Caenorhabditis elegans: one gene and its partners. The protein of the gene in region 1 interacts with the protein of each later gene in a biochemical or structural test. Each region holds a gene or a part of one and is shown on either strand. Other genes may lie near its edges.

What was found.
Region 2: the proteins of spd-5 (region 1) and spd-2 form a complex in vitro, tested with the Caenorhabditis elegans proteins (2 studies listed by BioGRID, with this or other methods).
Region 3: of the proteins of spd-5 (region 1) and plk-1, one has a biochemical effect on the other in vitro, tested with the Caenorhabditis elegans proteins (4 studies listed by BioGRID, with this or other methods).

What each region holds. Positions count from the first base shown.
Region 1 is NC_003279.8:5,170,751-5,178,503, reverse strand, and holds spd-5 (Spindle-defective protein 5), read left to right. Parts: upstream 1-1,849; 5' UTR 1,850-1,906; intron 1,907-2,967; 5' UTR 2,968-2,982; coding exon 2,983-3,034; intron 3,035-3,085; coding exon 3,086-3,273; intron 3,274-3,320; coding exon 3,321-4,418; intron 4,419-4,465; coding exon 4,466-4,547; intron 4,548-4,592; coding exon 4,593-4,990; intron 4,991-5,038; coding exon 5,039-5,252; intron 5,253-5,295; coding exon 5,296-6,181; intron 6,182-6,230; coding exon 6,231-6,481; intron 6,482-6,531; coding exon 6,532-6,863; intron 6,864-6,914; coding exon 6,915-7,010; 3' UTR 7,011-7,202; downstream 7,203-7,753. Other genes in the region: npp-6 (NUP160 middle TPR domain-containing protein), read right to left, coding at 1-301, 360-1,003, 1,054-1,179, 1,228-1,532, 1,587-1,668; Condensin-2 complex subunit hcp-6, read right to left, coding at 7,203-7,355, 7,400-7,743. UniProt on the Caenorhabditis elegans protein: Plays a central role in centrosome maturation and mitotic spindle assembly during the first division of the zygote. Required for the centrosomal localization of air-1 and zyg-9. Probably not required in late embryogenesis and during larval development.
Region 2 is NC_003279.8:8,966,447-8,972,016, reverse strand, and holds spd-2 (Spindle-defective protein 2), read left to right. Parts: upstream 1-1,935; 5' UTR 1,936-1,945; coding exon 1,946-2,036; intron 2,037-2,079; coding exon 2,080-2,319; intron 2,320-2,366; coding exon 2,367-2,744; intron 2,745-2,786; coding exon 2,787-3,072; intron 3,073-3,223; coding exon 3,224-3,932; intron 3,933-4,063; coding exon 4,064-4,209; intron 4,210-4,250; coding exon 4,251-4,544; intron 4,545-4,591; coding exon 4,592-4,922; 3' UTR 4,923-5,032; downstream 5,033-5,570. Other genes in the region: thoc-3 (WD_REPEATS_REGION domain-containing protein), read right to left, coding at 1-130, 237-343, 389-500, 547-696, 774-878; F32H2.10 (Integrator complex subunit 1 R4 domain-containing protein), read right to left, coding at 1,054-1,166, 1,210-1,318, 1,364-1,577, 1,623-1,702; mdt-31 (Mediator of RNA polymerase II transcription subunit 31), read right to left, coding at 5,055-5,296, 5,347-5,511. UniProt on the Caenorhabditis elegans protein: Required both for centrosome duplication and maturation. Required for pericentriolar material (PCM) recruitment.
Region 3 is NC_003281.10:8,099,705-8,104,607, forward strand, and holds plk-1 (Serine/threonine-protein kinase plk-1), read left to right. Parts: upstream 1-1,643; coding exon 1,644-1,889; intron 1,890-1,936; coding exon 1,937-2,536; intron 2,537-2,779; coding exon 2,780-3,106; intron 3,107-3,152; coding exon 3,153-3,599; intron 3,600-3,648; coding exon 3,649-3,762; intron 3,763-3,810; coding exon 3,811-4,023; 3' UTR 4,024-4,365; downstream 4,366-4,903. Other genes in the region: K06H7.1 (uncharacterized protein), read left to right, coding at 24-155, 201-407, 454-594, 637-746, 790-934. UniProt on the Caenorhabditis elegans protein: Required for oocyte nuclear envelope breakdown before entry of oocyte into spermatheca. In meiotic cells, required for spindle dynamics and probably for spindle attachment to the chromosomes. Zygotic role in the development of the germline and nerve cord.

The sequences.
Region 1 (7,753 bases):
ATAGATATCTGTATCAAAAACCACATCAATCAGTGTTTCTATGCTTGAATCTGCCGAGAGGTTATATGGGCGCTCAATTGCAGGTTCCACTTCATCCGTATTGCCGATCGGTTCTTCTTTGGTAGTGGCAGGCGAAGTGAACTGACGAACGGAATGCCAATCGAAATCTGTGAAAACTCGTCCCTTTTTCCATTGGATAGCAAATGAGATCCGTTTCATCGAATAGGTTTTCTTTGCAGATGAACTTTTGAAAAGAGCAGAAAGTGAAAATAGTGCAGCTGTGAGAGGATTATACAATTCCCTGAAACAATTTTATATTTAGACAAGAAAAAAACCCATTTTATAACAACGATTCTTACCCATCTTGTGTCTCATCAAGACTTTCCGATTCCTTTGATGGGAAATAGTTTTGAATAAGCTCGAGATCAACAAGTCGTTCATCAACGGACATCGATGTTTCGAACATTTGTAGATGTTGAATTTGATCATTTGAAACTTTGAGAATATGAACTCTCATCCCGACGCTTTTTCCCGAAACTGCCAAATCACATCCAACAATCAGAAGAATATCCACATCGAATGAATAAGCTCTGATAGAATATACAGTTTCAGTTGGTTCCATTGGAGACTTTTCTTCCTCGAAGTCTGCAGATTCTAGATCTCGATTCAAAGATTTTCCGTCTGAAGCAAAGTAGTTATTCAAGTCAATAGTGCTTGGCAATTGTTTTTTCGTCTCAACATTCCATGCTTGCACCCATCCGTCTCTGGTAACAGCGAACACAATATCGGATTGGACTGAAATTTTTCGCTCTCTCGTGACTCCAGAAGTCGGGCGAAGATTCTTCATAACACATGCATCACTGACTCGTTTATCAGTGCCACCTAGAAGTTTTCCCAGAAGACCAACTTCTCCCATTGTGAATTCTTCGTGTTTATCACTGGATTCCGTGTATGATCCCAATGTGACAATGACCAACTGCCCTTCAGCGGTACAGTAAGAAATCTGAATTCAAAATTCGAAATATAGGTTGTAATCAATTTCCATTTTTATACCGTATTTCTTGAAGGATGATGTGTAACACTTGCACGAATCGGGCGCCCTGGTGTTGAAAGGGAGTGAGATGTTCTGAATCGGCGGAAATCGTCATCTTCTTTAATTCTTGCAAGAATTGAGAACGTCTGAAAATAATTATTCTCATTCGATTATGGAAATTTTTGAGAACAAACATCATGGCCTTTGGAGTGGAGTCTCGCGTAGAAACGATGAATTGCAGAAGCTGTGGGAACGACAATACATAAAACCCCTTCCTCGAAAATTGTTATCGATGTTCCAGGAATAATAGGTGTGCGTGTGAAGTCAATGCACAACGATCCATCCGTGATTGAGTAGAGCAAAGAACGCTCCTCAATGAACAGTTTCTGGCCAATCGCACGCCACAGGAAAATCCGATCGCCGTAATTTGAGCAGTGCGGAAATGTTGCAACTCCTGCGGACGGTTGCACATCAAATCCATTCGAATGAAGCGGCGCATCTAAAAAAGTGAAATTTGTTGTAGAAACAATTATTTAATGAAATTGAAACTTACTGGTGTTTACCACAAAAGTTCTAGCCGGCTTTATAGCAAATCCATCCGTGAAGCTGATTTCCGACCCGTAAACCAGCTCCATCTGAAATTAAGCATAAAACACGATGTTAAAGCAAAAGAGAAATATGGAGATGAAATAAACACGTTCAAAAATATTTAAATATCGTTAAAAACAATTTTTCATTGGCGTGAACTTGTTTTACTTGTTTTTTATACGTTTTTTTATACGTGAAAAAATGGAAGAAAACAATTCACTTTAAATTTTAATCACTTATCGAGAAGGTTCTCATTGGATTCAAAGAAAAACTTGTTAGAAATTTGTGAGTTTTTACAATAAGCTTCATATTTTGACACTTTGCGATGTAAAATTTTACAAAACAATGATGAATTGAGCCGAAAACGCCTCCATATGGAGCTCCATTCGAATTCAAAAATAAGGGGCGTGGCTGCATGAGCAATACCGCCGCATGGTATTTCGCAACATGCGCACACTTTTTCTCTGTCAAGAAAAACGAGGCCCCACGAAAAGGGGATCTGCAAAAAGGGGATCTGCGAAAAGGGGAGATACGAAAAGGGGAGATACGAAAAGGGGAGCAACGAAAAGGGGATCTGGCACTGTGCCAAACGCTATTTTTCTCGAAGAAAACGATACAACGATTGTCGCGAATACGCAGAATACTGAGTCATCAACAATGACAAAGCCGGGAAACTCCTGTTTGAAAGCCGCGCCAAAAGACACACACGTCACGCGTGTTACAGTACTACCACACATGCACATCAAACCCCAACACGTCGACACCACGCAAGGAAATCGTCACTTCTTCGTTTTACTCTTGGACCGGCAGGTCGCATGTTAAATATATGAGCTTTCTCATTTTTATCATTTAACGGATTTATCAGTAATAAATTATATAATTCTACCACTTTTGAACCTATACCGATCCGAAACATGGTGCATCGGCTCCGATGTTACGCGTCGCGTGTTGTTAAGCGTATCTTCTAGAAGAAAATTTCAAAAATCAACGTGCGTTGCGTGAGAAAAATTGCGTTTTGTGCGTTTGGCACAGTGCCAGCTCCCCTTTTCGTTGCTCCCCTTTTCGTATCTCCCCTTTTTGCAGATCCCCTTTTCGTTCTGCTCCCCTTTTCGTGGGGCCTCAGAAAAACGCGCGCCTAAACGTGAATTTTGAATTTTCTCCGCGTCCGCGAAATTCTTACGTTTCCATAGTAACAAAAGTTGGTCCGCACTTGTTTTTCATGATTATGCACGCCCAAAGAACGGTGCTGAAGCTTCAAATTTTGCAACCTCCTGTTCATTTTGACTCAAAACTCTTAATCCCAAAAAAACGCTCAATTTTGTTTTCGAACCCGTTTCTTGTTTCAGAAAACTTCGCGTTAAATGGAGGATAATTCTGTGCTCAACGAGGACTCCAATCTCGAGCATGTCGAGGGTAATTATAACATTTAAAATCAATAACTGCATAAATGCAAAGGTTTTTTAGGCCAGCCACGAAGATCTATGTCGCAACCAGTTCTGAATGTTGAAGGAGACAAAAGAACGTCTTCGACCAGTGCCACTCAACAGCAAGTATTGTCAGGAGCATTTTCGTCTGCTGATGTTCGTAGCATCCCCATCATCCAAACATGGGAAGAAAACAAAGCGCTTAAAACAAAAATAACTATCCTGAGAGTAAGTAATTTATCATATGCTTATTTAGAAATGATTTGAGTTTGTAGGGAGAACTGCAAATGTATCAGCGCCGGTATAGTGAGGCAAAGGAAGCGTCGCAGAAGAGAGTTAAGGAAGTTATGGACGATTATGTCGATCTCAAATTAGGCCAAGAAAATGTTCAAGAGAAAATGGAGCAATACAAACTGATGGAAGAGGATTTGCTAGCAATGCAATCGAGAATTGAAACTTCCGAAGACAATTTTGCCAGACAGATGAAAGAATTTGAGGCACAAAAGCATGCAATGGAGGAAAGAATCAAGGAACTGGAATTGTCCGCTACTGATGCAAACAACACAACTGTCGGATCTTTTCGTGGAACTCTTGATGACATTCTGAAGAAAAACGATCCAGATTTCACATTAACCTCTGGTTATGAAGAAAGAAAGATCAACGACCTGGAGGCAAAGCTCCTCTCTGAGATCGACAAGGTAGCTGAGCTGGAAGATCACATTCAGCAGCTCCGTCAAGAACTTGACGACCAATCTGCAAGGCTTGCCGATTCAGAAAATGTTCGCGCTCAGCTTGAAGCGGCCACTGGACAAGGAATCCTCGGAGCTGCTGGAAACGCTATGGTTCCAAATTCAACGTTCATGATCGGGAACGGTCGTGAATCACAGACGCGAGACCAGCTCAATTACATTGATGATCTTGAAACGAAGTTAGCTGATGCGAAGAAGGAAAATGATAAGGCTCGTCAGGCACTCGTTGAATACATGAACAAGTGTAGCAAGCTTGAGCACGAGATTCGAACCATGGTTAAAAATTCGACATTTGATTCTTCTTCCATGTTGCTTGGTGGTCAGACATCCGACGAGCTTAAAATCCAAATAGGAAAGGTGAACGGTGAATTGAATGTGTTGAGAGCTGAAAATCGAGAACTCCGCATTCGTTGTGATCAATTGACCGGAGGCGATGGAAATCTTAGCATTTCACTGGGACAAAGTCGACTGATGGCTGGTATTGCGACTAATGATGTCGATAGCATTGGACAAGGAAATGAGACTGGCGGAACATCGATGCGCATTCTTCCCAGAGAAAGTCAATTAGATGATCTTGAAGAAAGCAAATTGCCGCTCATGGATACATCATCTGCTGTTCGAAATGTAAGTGTATGAAAATTATTATTTAAAATAAAGTCTTGAATATTTAGCAGCAACAATTTGCCTCCATGTGGGAAGATTTCGAGTCAGTGAAAGACAGCCTGCAGAACAACCATAATGACACCCTTGAAGGTAGTAAAATTGATTCCTAGATTTTTTGAAATTGATTATTGTTAGGTTCCTTCAATTCGTCAATGCCACCACCTGGTAGAGATGCAACTCAATCGTTCCTCAGTCAGAAGTCTTTCAAGAATTCTCCGATTGTAATGCAGAAACCAAAATCACTTCATCTTCACCTGAAGAGCCATCAATCCGAGGGAGCTGGCGAACAAATACAGAATAATTCGTTTTCTACGAAGACTGCTTCTCCTCACGTGTCACAAAGTCACATTCCAATTCTGCACGATATGCAACAAATTCTGGATTCTTCTGCAATGTTCCTTGAAGGCCAGCATGATGTAGCTGTAAATGTTGAGCAAATGCAAGAGAAAATGTCCCAGATCAGAGAGGCTCTTGCTCGACTTTTCGAAAGACTTAAATCTTCTGCTGCTCTTTTTGAAGAGATTCTTGAAAGGGTATGAAAACTGTCAAGTTGTGAATCTGTAAATCTGAGTTTTTTGTAGATGGGATCCAGTGATCCAAATGCGGATAAGATCAAGAAAATGAAGCTCGCATTTGAAACAAGTATTAACGACAAGCTCAATGTATCTGCCATCTTGGAAGCAGCGGAGAAGGATCTTCATAATATGTCACTCAATTTCTCAATTCTCGAGAAGTCGATAGTTAGTCAGGCTGCGGAAGCTTCGAGAAGATTCACTATTGCACCCGATGCTGAAGGTAATATAAATTTTAGAGACGCTCATAAATCAATATTTTCCAGATGTCGCCTCATCTTCTCTTCTCAATGCCTCGTATAGTCCACTCTTCAAGTTTACAAGCAATTCAGACATAGTGGAAAAGCTTCAGAATGAGGTATCGGAGTTGAAAAATGAATTGGAGATGGCTCGTACACGAGATATGAGATCTCCATTGAACGGTTCGTCTGGAAGATTGTCGGATGTGCAGATCAACACCAATCGCATGTTTGAAGATCTCGAAGTATCTGAAGCAACGCTACAAAAGGCTAAAGAGGAAAATTCTACATTGAAAAGTCAATTTGCTGAACTCGAAGCCAATCTCCATCAAGTTAATTCTAAGCTTGGAGAAGTGCGATGCGAGCTCAATGAAGCGTTGGCTCGTGTGGATGGTGAACAGGAGACTCGTGTCAAAGCTGAAAATGCATTGGAAGAGGCTCGTCAGCTCATCAGTTCTCTAAAACATGAGGAAAATGAGCTCAAGAAAACCATTACTGATATGGGGATGCGATTGAATGAAGCAAAGAAGAGCGATGAATTCTTGAAAAGCGAGTTATCTACCGCGCTGGAGGAAGAAAAAAAATCCCAAAATCTAGCAGATGAGTTGAGTGAAGAATTGAATGGGTGGAGAATGAGAACAAAAGAGGCGGAAAATAAAGTTGAACATGCTTCATCCGAGAAATCTGAAATGCTTGAAAGAATTGTTCATTTGGAGACTGAGATGGAGAAGTTGTCGACTTCAGAAATTGCGGCCGACTATTGTTCTACGAAGATGACAGAAAGAAAGAAGGAAATTGAGTTGGCGAAGTATCGCGAAGATTTTGAGAATGCCGCTATTGTAGGATTGGAACGTATCAGTAAGGAGATATCTGAGCTAACCAAGAAGACTTTGAAAGCCAAGATTATCCCAAGGTATTATCAAACGTCGTGCTTGTTTTTTTTTATTTGAGAACATTTTCAGCAACATCTCATCGATTCAACTCGTTTGCGATGAACTCTGTCGTCGTCTTTCCAGGGAACGAGAGCAACAGCATGAATACGCGAAAGTTATGAGAGACGTCAATGAAAAAATTGAAAAGCTTCAATTAGAGAAAGATGCTCTCGAACATGAGCTGAAAATGATGAGCTCTAATAACGAGAATGTCCCACCAGTTGGAACATCGGTCAGTGGCATGCCTACTAAAACATCGAATCAAAAGTGTGCTCAACCTCGTAAGTCATACTTATGCACATCAGAAGTTGAATTTTCACCAATTCTCCAGATTACACGAGCCCTACTCGACAATTGCTCCACGAATCAACTATGGCTGTCGACGCAATTGTTCAGAAACTCAAGAAGACTCACAATATGTCAGGAATGGGTCCAGAGCTTAAGGAGACGATTGGCAACGTCATCAATGAATCCAGAGTTCTTCGCGATTTCCTCCATCAGAAGCTCATTCTATTCAAAGGAATCGATATGTCCAATTGGAAGAACGAGACCGTCGATCAACTGATCACAGATCTCGGACAATTGCATCAGGATAACTTGATGCTTGAGGAGCAAATCAAGAAGTACAAAAAGGAACTGAAACTGACAAAATCCGCCATCCCGGTATGAAATTCTTTTTCTATTGAAATCTATTTTGAAAAATATCATTTTCAGACACTTGGTGTCGAATTTCAAGACAGAATCAAAACGGAAATTGGCAAAATCGCAACTGATATGGGAGGAGCTGTGAAGGAAATTCGCAAAAAGTGAACTGATCTGTTAATGTATTAAAATGGAACCAGTTTTATCAACACTATCATCTCGACAAGATTAACTTGTAACGATTGTATTGTTTTCCCAGCCTAAAGATACACCTAATGCATCTATCAATGTACTTGTGAATTAAATGCTTCTTTTCTGGTAGTTGACTGCAATCCCATTACAGATAATAAAAGGAACAGATTAATTTAATGAAAAAACAGCGGACAATCTTACAATAATACAAACAGTTGAGATAAATAAGACAAATTTCGATGGAAGATTTATACAATGACATTGATCAGCTTTCCTCTTCATCCTCTTCGAAGATATTGTGAAGGTGATAAGCTTGACTTTCTGTAAAATTAAGGCGTTTTGTAAATTCAAGAAATTGTGAATACCTTACTTCTGTTTTTCAAGTCTTCCTTTTCGGTAATAGCCGACAAATTAAGGGAGAATGTGACATCGCTTGGATCTGCGTCTTCTCGTGATCGAATCGGAGTTGAACAATGACGTCCTGCACCAAGCTTACTTTCATCGAAAATCAACGGAGTCACTCCGCGTGACAGTGGATCATTTTCAGTGTTACCAGATGAACTTGTTGGCACATTTTCCTCTTCCTCGTCAACAGATTTCCGTTTTCGATTAGAATTCTCTTTCACGACTGGTGGCTCTGTTGACTGACCCCGACGACTACGACGCAAAGTGACGTTGGCCGAAATATTGACTTCCTTTTCCGGGGATTCTTCAAGAAA
Region 2 (5,570 bases), 3.8 Mb from region 1:
AAGTCACAGGTTCAAGGGCTCCACCGGCGAACTTTAGAATTTCAACTTTTCCTCCAGACTCTGCTACGAATACGTGGTTCGACAAAGGGTGAAATGTTAGCTCGTGGGAGAAAGTTTTCATTTCATAGGACTGAAAATAATTAAATTTAAAATGTTTTGATCGTCTTTACAACTTTACAAGCAATCCTAGCAAAATCCTAAAAATCTCAAGTTGCTAAATAGCTCTTGAAACTCACATTTACAACTTGATAATTCCGAATGTCTACTGTATTTATCCGATTATCTTTGTCGAGAAATATGAAATATTCGTCACACGGAGACCAGGAGATGAAGAAATTTCCAACTGAAAGCCGATCATTTTTAGGAGTTTAAATTGTTAATTTGAAACCTCGATTTGAAATTCGATGAGTCGGTTTGCTTTGTCGAATGTCCCATACACAAATGTTTCTATCTGCACTGGCTGATGCAAATAAGTTTGGCTGCTTTTCACTACATGCTACCTGAAATAGAAATCGTTAACACCAGATGAGGAAATTTCCGATATACCTGTTCCACAGACGATGAATGACTAGAGCCCACCCAAGAAAATCTGAGACGACCTCCATCCACATTTGCAACGCTCACTTTTTTGTCGAATGCACCACATACAAGTTTTGTTCCATCACAATTAAATGCTATTGATTGGCATTGCTGGACCTGGAATAGAAAAGTAGTTTTCATTTCTAAAATTGATGAGTGGGAAAGCTTGAAATATATTATTTCTTTAGGTATACCTTCATATCGGTTGATCTGATTCTTTTGTACTTTTCAAAATATGTCGAAGCATCAGCTGCCGTTAACAGACGTGCACATCGTCGTTCTCGGGAAGACACTGTCATCTGAATTAGATTTTAATACTTTCCGAATATCATGAAATTTTATAAATAAGGTATAAAGATGGGACAAGTTAAGCCCATTTTTACCGAGAAGCAAAGAAAAATCAAATAAATGAAATACCCGATTTATTGATAAATGAAAACCCGTCGCAACTCATAAATCTAAACAATAAATCAATCATTGAGAAGCTTTGGTATAAGATTTTGATAGAAAACTTTCAACGTCAGTACATGGAGCTGGAAGTCTGTTGTATGCTATTGATCCGAACTTTATCAGGTTATTTGCTTCTTCTGCAAGATTAATATGAAAATGAGTTTATTACTATCGATTCACCTGGACAGGCGTCAACAAACTTAGGCAGAAGCGATAAAGCATGTTGAGCCACTTGAGGATTTGAATTTACAAGTGCCAAGTGATAGGAATCGAGCATCATTTGCCGTGGCTAAACTTTCAAAATTGAAATTATTGTCATTTTGATAATTCTTACACTTTGAGGATGGGCCAAGATTTTCAGACAAGCCGCAAATGCAAATTTACGAATAGGTGTCGTTCTGTGAGTTAGCAGCTGGGACACGAACTTTGGTGCTTTCGAACATCGTTCCGGATTACTTCTCTCGATTTTCTGAATTATTTCAAGCAGTTCACGATCATTTGGAGTATGCGATTGTTCGTATTCGAAGATTTGTTTGGACAGAGGGTCACTGAACAGTTATCGAATTTTTAGAGAAAACCTAATAAAAACCAACCTTATGACTTGCTGATCATTGGGAAGAAATCGAGATTGACTAGCAGCACGTCCCATCATTCGTTCATCAATATCACCCATTGTTTTTGTGTTTTATTTTTCGCTGAAATTCACAATATATTTAGATTTTATGTTTTAAAAACGACTATAAAAAAATAGTTATTTCAATTTGAATTGCAAAAAATATGATACAAAAGTACGCATTTTCGCGTGGCCGTGTTTGCGGACACAGAAAACAAACATTGGCGCGCCCGTCAAATGATTAGTGTTTACGCTTTTAAAATCATTCATTTTAAAACTTTTTCTATTCTCAGCGTATTAAAAATGGAAGATGATGCTCCAATGAATCTCTGTAATGAACAGTTCGAAGAAATTGAAGATAGTCCCATTGATGACAATGATAATGAATCATTCTGTAAGTTATTATACATGTTATGCAATTAAAATAGCTTTTTCAGACAATGCTGATGGTGATGTAGAACTCGAAGAAGAGGAAGTACACGAGACACCGAAAAACTTCAAAAATGGTGGTCGCTTCAAAACAAACATGACTAATCCAAAGGTTAATGACCTGACAACGATTGAGGAGAAAAATGAAGATTTGCGATCTGCCGCTAGCTCGCGCAGTGCGAGTCGTCCAGCCAGCGTGATGAGCGATAAGTCGTTTTCTAGTCAATTTGAGTTTCAAAGTGGTGGAGGTTAGTTTTAATCTACTTAAACCATTAATTTTGTTTCTAATTTTCAGAGAATGCCATTGAAGAATACACTAATCAGGTTTTTGCTGATGAAAACAAAGCTGACCTGCTTTTTCCTGAAACTTCAAAATTTATGAACGGAGCATCGCCGCCTAAAGACAAGCATCACTCCTGGGAGCCGTCCATACACCATTATGATAAGCAACCACCTCCCGACATTCAAACAAATTCGCCCGTCTTCGGAAACTTGAATCATCGAAAAAATAAATTGATTCCCCAAGCTAGAGCAAAGCCAGGAGCCAATGACAACGAAATCGTGGAGAGGGATAATGACGAAAATGTGCCGACAACATCTGATAAATCGGCATTTATCACATCACCGATGAATTCCACAAATCACGACGAGAAAACGAGCACTCCTAAAAGACGTGAGACTTTCAATTTAAACTTTGTTACGACAATATTTTCAGCAACTAATCGGAAAATCGGTCAATACCAAGGGCCTAATTTCGATTTATCAAGCATCTACGTTGGTAGTCCACAACACCAGAATACATCAATCTCTACGGGACAACAGATGCCGACTTCGTCTTATTCGCATGCACATTCTGAAACAATGATGACAAATCAAACTATTAATGAGTCAATGGTTCGAAGAGTGCTCAATGGAAACAATAAGAATCAAGATCTGTTCGCAGCATTAGAAGAAGCTCGTAAAAGAAGAGCTGCTCAACCGTCGAAGCCAGATTTCAGAATGTAAGCATTCCGAAAAACAATTTGTAACGTTATACAAAAGTATAGTTTTTTTCCTGAAATTCGTAAAATCGCGGTTTAAGTAATATTATGTTTATTTAAGTTGAAAAAGTTAGTGCGTTTTTAAATTCAGTTTTATAATTTTTTCTTTCAGAAACACTACGCGAACTCGTGTTCCTATAAAGCCAACATCTGCACGACATTCTGGAAATGTCGTATCCTCGACGTCCAACGACAACACAACTGCAGCATCATCCAAAGATTTGACGACGAGCCGAAAAGCGATGGAGACTTTTAGGCAGAATGCATCAATGGCAGATGCCACTAATTCTAATACAGCAAGCATGACGAGTATCTTGAGCACAATCTCCACTGCAAGGACGGATATTAGTCGTTCATCTCGTAATCATGGTGGTGGTTTTTCGAACACATCCGTCTCTACCGTCATTCCGGCCAATAATGGCAATGTTTCACTGTCCCATGGACGCGATGGACGGGATTCGGTCAGTTCGGTGCGCACAATGTCCCGTGCTTCTTCGACCTCGACGGTATATGCAGGATCCACATTTTCTGGAGTATCAAAGCCATTGCGAATTCATGCTAAACGCGTGGCATTCGGTTGTGTTGCAGTCGGCGAGACATTGAGAGTTGAAGTCGAAGTGGAAAACATTTCCGATCGTCAGTGTCTTGTTCGAGCCAGTACGGATAGTACCACACCAGTTTATCAAATCCTTGACAACAAGCTAACTATGGTTGATCCAAAAAAGAGTATCAAGTTTCAAGTATCCTTTTCTCCTAGTTCTGTCGGACGTTATCAAGTTATTATGAGTATCGAAGTACCGGCACAAAATTTTATACATAAGGTATGTTTTTCAAAAATTTGATGGAATTGGATGTCATCGTGTCAAGCACATGTGTGTGTTTGCCTATGTTTGACTATGAAACATATTCGATACATTTTTCAAAAGCCATAATAAAGTTATGTTTTCTTCAGATTCCGATGTGGGGTAATGGTGGAATTGCGAAGTTCGTGCCCACTTCGCCAGATTTGCAACAAACTATAAATCAGTCAGAGTATGCAATGTGCACCTCATGCGCAAAACGAATCTCTTTTAAGATCAGCAACTCTGCAGGAACAAGGTAGGCTAAATAGACGACGCTTACATAACAATTTCTTTCAGAGACGGCTTTGCGATGATTAAAGTGTTCGACTCAGCGATGCGACAGCTTCCAGACGGATGTGTAGCTTTCTTTCCTGCACCCGGTTTCATTGTAAAGAAAAAATCGGATAAGCGTGTTGACATTCGCATCGACTCATCTTATATTGATCTTCACGATGAAAACAATTTTCGTACATCGTCTTCGCTTTCGACAGCCTCAACAACATCCTCATTCCAGCGACGTATTCTTCCTGGAGCCAAATTCTTTGTGCATGTCGTTTGGGGTGAAGAAACCATGCGAACCAGACTTCGATTGTTAATTTGAATACAGATGAAATGGTATTACATTTGAAATTATTTAGGCTAGAAGTTCGCACAGGACAGCATCAACTAATCGATGGTCATGACTTCACATCTTTCCAATTTTCCGATGAAGAAGTTCTTCGTGCTGTTCCAGTTGGATTCCCCGCTATCAAGCCCGAGGACCGTGATCTGTTCGCTGCTTCTTATCGTAGTTTCTTCATCAATTTTTTCACTTCTACAACTGAATTCCGTGCTGCTACAAGCCGGAAGAAGAAAGAGATATGCAGCAACGACGACTCTACTCTACTCGAGACAACAGCTTTCCGTAATCAGACATTTGTCAACGACGTTACAATTGTTCCCAATACAAGATTTTCGAATAGAAAGTAAAATCTTAACCTAACTTTCCAAATATTCTCTGATTTCTGTCCAGGCTTCGAAAAAATTCACGGTTCTGTAAAATGTAGGTTTCAATTTCAATAAAGTGGTGATGAAGTTTTATTTGATTTACATTTTTTATGTTTATTTTTCTTTCTTTGAAACGGTAGAAGTTGTGGAATTCTTTTCGGCTGTGTCAGCATCCGGTTTCTTCATCGTTTCCTCATCATCTTCATCCTCTGTGTCCTTTTGTCGAATATCAGCTTCATCTTCAGATTCTTCAAGCTCTTGTCCCTCATCAGGCATCATACACAAACGATGCCGTTTCCGAAGATAAAACTGCCATTGGAGAACCACTTGATCTTCTACGAATTTCGCGCTTGGTCCTGAAAATAAGTTACTATTCTTCTGATAGATTAAATAAAATTTGAACTACCGTAAGCCATCGAATCGCGAAATTGCTGACTCTGCAGTGCTTCAAGCATGTGCAGACATTGAGGAAATTTCAAGCATCTGGCATATTGAGGATCTTTCCAATAGAGAAGATATTTGAGATAGTTGACAAAATATTCTTCTTTGAAATAACCACGTTGCGCGAGAACTGGAAAATATGAAATTTGCAGGAAAAAGAGTGCATAAAAAAACAAGAAACTTAGAATA
Region 3 (4,903 bases), on another chromosome or scaffold:
TTAATTAAATCATAAATTTTTAGATTACAATTGTATATACAAGTCGACTAGGAAAAATGAAAGATCTCCAAGTTCCGGAGATTGAAATTTCAGGAGTTCTTTTGGAAAGATTGGAAGCTTGTAATTATAGGCTTGACGAGCTTTTTATAGACTTGGTAGTTAAAAAATTAATCTGAATTCCGCGTATTTTGATATTTCAGAAAGCAAGCAAATGTATTTGTAGTTCGAATGAGCTTTTGAACATTCCAAAAATCATCGTTAGAAGGCTTTTTCTAAAAATGGAATCTCTGGAAATGTTGGAGTGGTGGATTGAAAGAGTTGATCCGAACTCTCTAAATGAGCTGTGTATTGCTCCTCATGGAGAATATCCACTTGATATTCCGTCCAAGATATTTGATCTTCCACATGTAAGTATGTTTATTTTTGAATATTTTTGGTACAATACATTTTCAGTTCCAAAATTGCAAAACACTGAGTATTATGGAGCACTGTTCTTTCTCAACCGACCAATTTCTAGCATTGTGTATTGCAATTCCAAATTTTTCTTTTTATTCGGACAGAATTGATGAAAATATAGTTGCTCATGCGATAAAGGTATTGAAAATCATCATGGAATGAAGAATTGTTATTTTTCAGAAACGTCTCAGCTTAAATGATCAATTTGTTGTCCTAGAATGGTTTTTCACTAAACACGTGAATGTTGAAAAAGTCACAGGAGATTTGAAGTGTACGAATTATGATAGAAAGTGAGCAGAAAACTGATGTTAGGCAAACTAGAATTAATTTCAGAGAGCGCTTTGATGTCAAAACTGAGTGCTTCGAGCCAGTTGATGTATACAGTGTTCCAGATGAGAATAACAAGAAAACGTCCTTGCTGGTTTTGAAAGATTCAACTGACAATTTCAAACCGTATAACATTGTTGCGTTTTCATAATTTTATGTTTTGAGATGCCGTCTTGGAAATATAGTGTTTTTGAAGCTAAATATCCTATCTCATGTATTAAATAAAATTGTTATAGTATCTCTTTCCATCCATTTTAATCGTCAAAGAAAGGCGTGTAAACCACGAAAACTTACCACTAATCCAAAAAGAGAAGCTGCCTTCTCTCCAAATGACGGTAAGACGTGGAAGACACGTGGTAAAAATGTATTACGTACGCCATAAAATATACGTATTAATCCATTTAAAATTAATTTTTCTTTTATTAACATCTGGCATCGTTTAACACACGTGCAAATGTTCTGTTACAAGCCCAAAAAGGTTCGTTGCTAATTTTTAAAACATTAATGTACAAAATTATTGCAGAAAGTACATTGAATAATAAATTTTTCAATTTTTAAAACCGTTTTTTAAATCAATGTCTCCGTGATATTTATGTTTGACCAGAAAATGTTTGATCGATGACAGCGCGCTGTTTTGTTTAGCACCCTTTTTCATCGGCGCGTAAATCGACACACGGTTCGCTGCGAGACCTGCGCCCGCCAAGCATCAACATTCGAATTTGCCGTCCGCCATTTTCGTCCTAAAATGACTTTTACCGATTCTTTTTCAAGTTTCCAGCTCGCCTCTTGTCATTTTTAGAAATAAAAACGTTTATTCAATTATTAATACTGAATATTTTAATTTTTGTGTTGCATTTCAGATGAATCGACTTCCCAACATTGCAAAACCCCCACAAAAGTCCAACCAAAGAAAGGAGAAGGCTCCACCAGAGGTTCCCGCTCTCATCGCCGACAAGGATCGTGGGACCTATTATGAGAAAGGACGATTTTTGGGCAAGGGAGGATTCGCTCACTGTTATGAGCTTACGAATCGAGCAACACGCGAGGTTGTCGCTGGAAAAGTGGTTCCGAAGTCGATGCTCGTCAAGCAATACCAGAGAGATAAGGTAGACAATGAACGAATCTTAGTTCAGTGCATATTACGATTTTTCAGATGACACAAGAGGTGCAGATTCATCGAGAGCTTGGACACATCAATATCGTGAAGTTATTCAACTTCTTCGAGGACAATCTCAACGTGTATATCACTTTGGAGTTATGTGCAAGACGGTCGCTGATGGAGTTGCACAAAAGAAGAAAGGCGGTCACCGAACCTGAAGCTCGTTATTTCACTCATCAAATTGTGGATGGCGTGCTGTATTTGCATGATCTGAACATCATTCATCGTGATATGAAGCTTGGAAATCTTTTCCTCAATGATGATCTAGTTGTCAAAATTGGAGATTTCGGATTAGCAACAACGGTCAACGGTGATGAGAGAAAGAAAACGTTGTGTGGAACGCCAAACTACATAGCTCCGGAGGTTTTGAACAAAGCTGGACACTCATTTGAAGTTGACATTTGGGCAGTTGGATGCATTCTGTACATTCTTCTTTTCGGACAACCACCATTCGAGTCTAAATCGCTTGAAGAGACATACTCACGCATTCGCCACAACAACTACACCATTCCGTCGATCGCAACACAACCAGCAGCAAGCCTAATCCGCAAGATGCTTGATCCTGAGCCAACACGTCGTCCGACTGCCAAGCAGGTAATTTCAATAGTTTTGAACTGGAGTGAAAATCATTTTAGTATTATCGGAGATTCGAGTTTCATCATTAGAAAATTTGTACTTTTGAATTTTATCGTGAACTTTTATTGAGAGATAGTTCACGTTCAGTTTGATTGCCCTTCGTTCTAATTAGTAAAGAGATCGAAAACAATTTTTAAAAAATCAGTTCGAATATTTAAATAAGTTATGAAATCTCTTCAACTCGGAATGAAAACCCTACAGGTTCAACGCGATGGCTTCTTCAAGTCAGGATTCATGCCGACTAGACTTCCAGTCTCCTGCCTCACTATGGTGCCAAAGTTCGGAGGACACGAAACTTCGATGATGGAGGAAAATGTTGCTCCAAGAGGGGTTGATGCTCGTTCACAACGCCCATTGAACGGAAGAGCTGGATTGTCTGCCCTCCCACAACACATCGTGTCGAACAATGCCGATCGTGAGCGTGCTCAACAACAAGCTGCAGAGGCGACTTTCCGGGAGCCCGAGGATGCATACCTTTCACAACTTTTCCACCAAGTTGCTGTGCTCTTAGAGCAGCGTATTCCAGGGGTAAGAATAAACAAGAGGTTTTTTTTAAATTAAAAGTTTGTTACAGCTGGAAGAAGAAGAAGCTGCTCTTGATGGTTATCAATCACCAGAGTGCCTCCCGGTTTTCTGGATTTCGAAATGGGTTGACTATTCGGACAAGTATGGCATCGGATATCAACTATGTGACAATTCCGTCGGAGTTCTCTTCAATGACAATTCTCGTATCATGCTTGATCAAGCTGGAAACGAGTTGACCTATATTGAGAAGAGCAACAAAGAGCACTACTTCTCGATGCACTCAGGTGAAATGCCTGGATTGCTCAACAAGAAAGTCACATTGCTTAAGTATTTTCGATCCTACATGAATGACCATTTGGTGAAAGCTGGAGAAGGATCTGAACAAAGAGCTGGTGATGACTTGGCTCGTTTACCAACGCTTCGAGTTTGGTTCAGAACCAAATCAGCAATTGTTTTGCACCTTTCCAATGGAACTGTTCAGATAAATTTCTTCAATGTAAGCAAATTCATAATTTAATGGAAACACCCAACAATATAATTTTCAGGATCATGTCAAGATGATGATGTGCCCATTAATGCAAGCAGTTACATTCATCGATCAAAACAAGCGTATGCTCACCTACAAGCTGAACAATCTTCAGCGCAATGGATGTCCAGAGGTTTGAATCGCCATTTCAGTATCAACAAATATAACGTATAATTTACAGAAATTCCTTCACCGACTGAAGTATGCGAAGACAATGATCGAAAGGTTGATGAGCGATGCTAACGTTGTATCCCAGAATCCAGCTCGTCAACCGGATATGCCACGGTCAATGGCAGCTGCTCGTTCAGCTTCGGCAGGATCACGAGGACCAAATCAAGCTGCATCGCACCTTCCCCAGTCGGCAAGTGGATCCAATATTCACCCACGTCGATAGATCCGTATGTGCTCTTTGCCACTTCCATGAATTTGCTTACATCTCCTGATTAATTCCAAGAAGTATTATTCTATACATTTAACCCGTACTCTTCATTTATTGTTGCTGTTTTTCATCGACCCTTTTAGTCCCATGTTTCAGCATCCAACATGTCTTTATTCCCCGTCCTCGATCTCCCGTAGCTCATTTCATTGTAAATACTGATGAGACCCGCTGTAGCCCTTTTTCATTCGTTTGTATTCATGGGCGAGGCGATTTTTATTTTGCGTTTTTATTTCTTTTTGCTAATTGAATCATCTTTTTTTGGTATTAGTCCCACGAAATAAAACGTACCGATGATTATTAAACTGTATTCTTCATTTTTCCAAACTTTCTCGACAATTTCATTTTTGGTAGATAGCAGCACATTGGGAAAAATCAAGTTGAGCTGCTCATCTGCCTCAACTTTCCATTTCAGAATTTTCGAAAAAGCGTGTATAATATTTACTGATTCCGAGACAATTATTTGAACATGATTGTTACAAAGATCACGGTCGCAAAGTAACAAATGTTCTGTTTAATTACTTGCCACTCTGAACAGTTTCCGTCACTTATTTTATATCCAAACAGGTTCGATTCCAAATAGTCTCAAATTATGCCAATGGGATCTGCTTTACTGTAACAGTTGGACATAAACTGTTATATGAAATCAAAAATACAATAGTTTAAATTGTTTTTGCTCTCTGCTTGAATTTTGGATTTCTAGAGATCTAGAGCAGAGCTGAGCAGCCGGCCAAAAAAATCGGCGATCGCCGATGAAATTTTTTTTTCGGCGATCGCCGATCACAAATTGCCAAAAAAAAATCGGCGATCGCCAATTGCCGATTGCCGATCAGTGTGC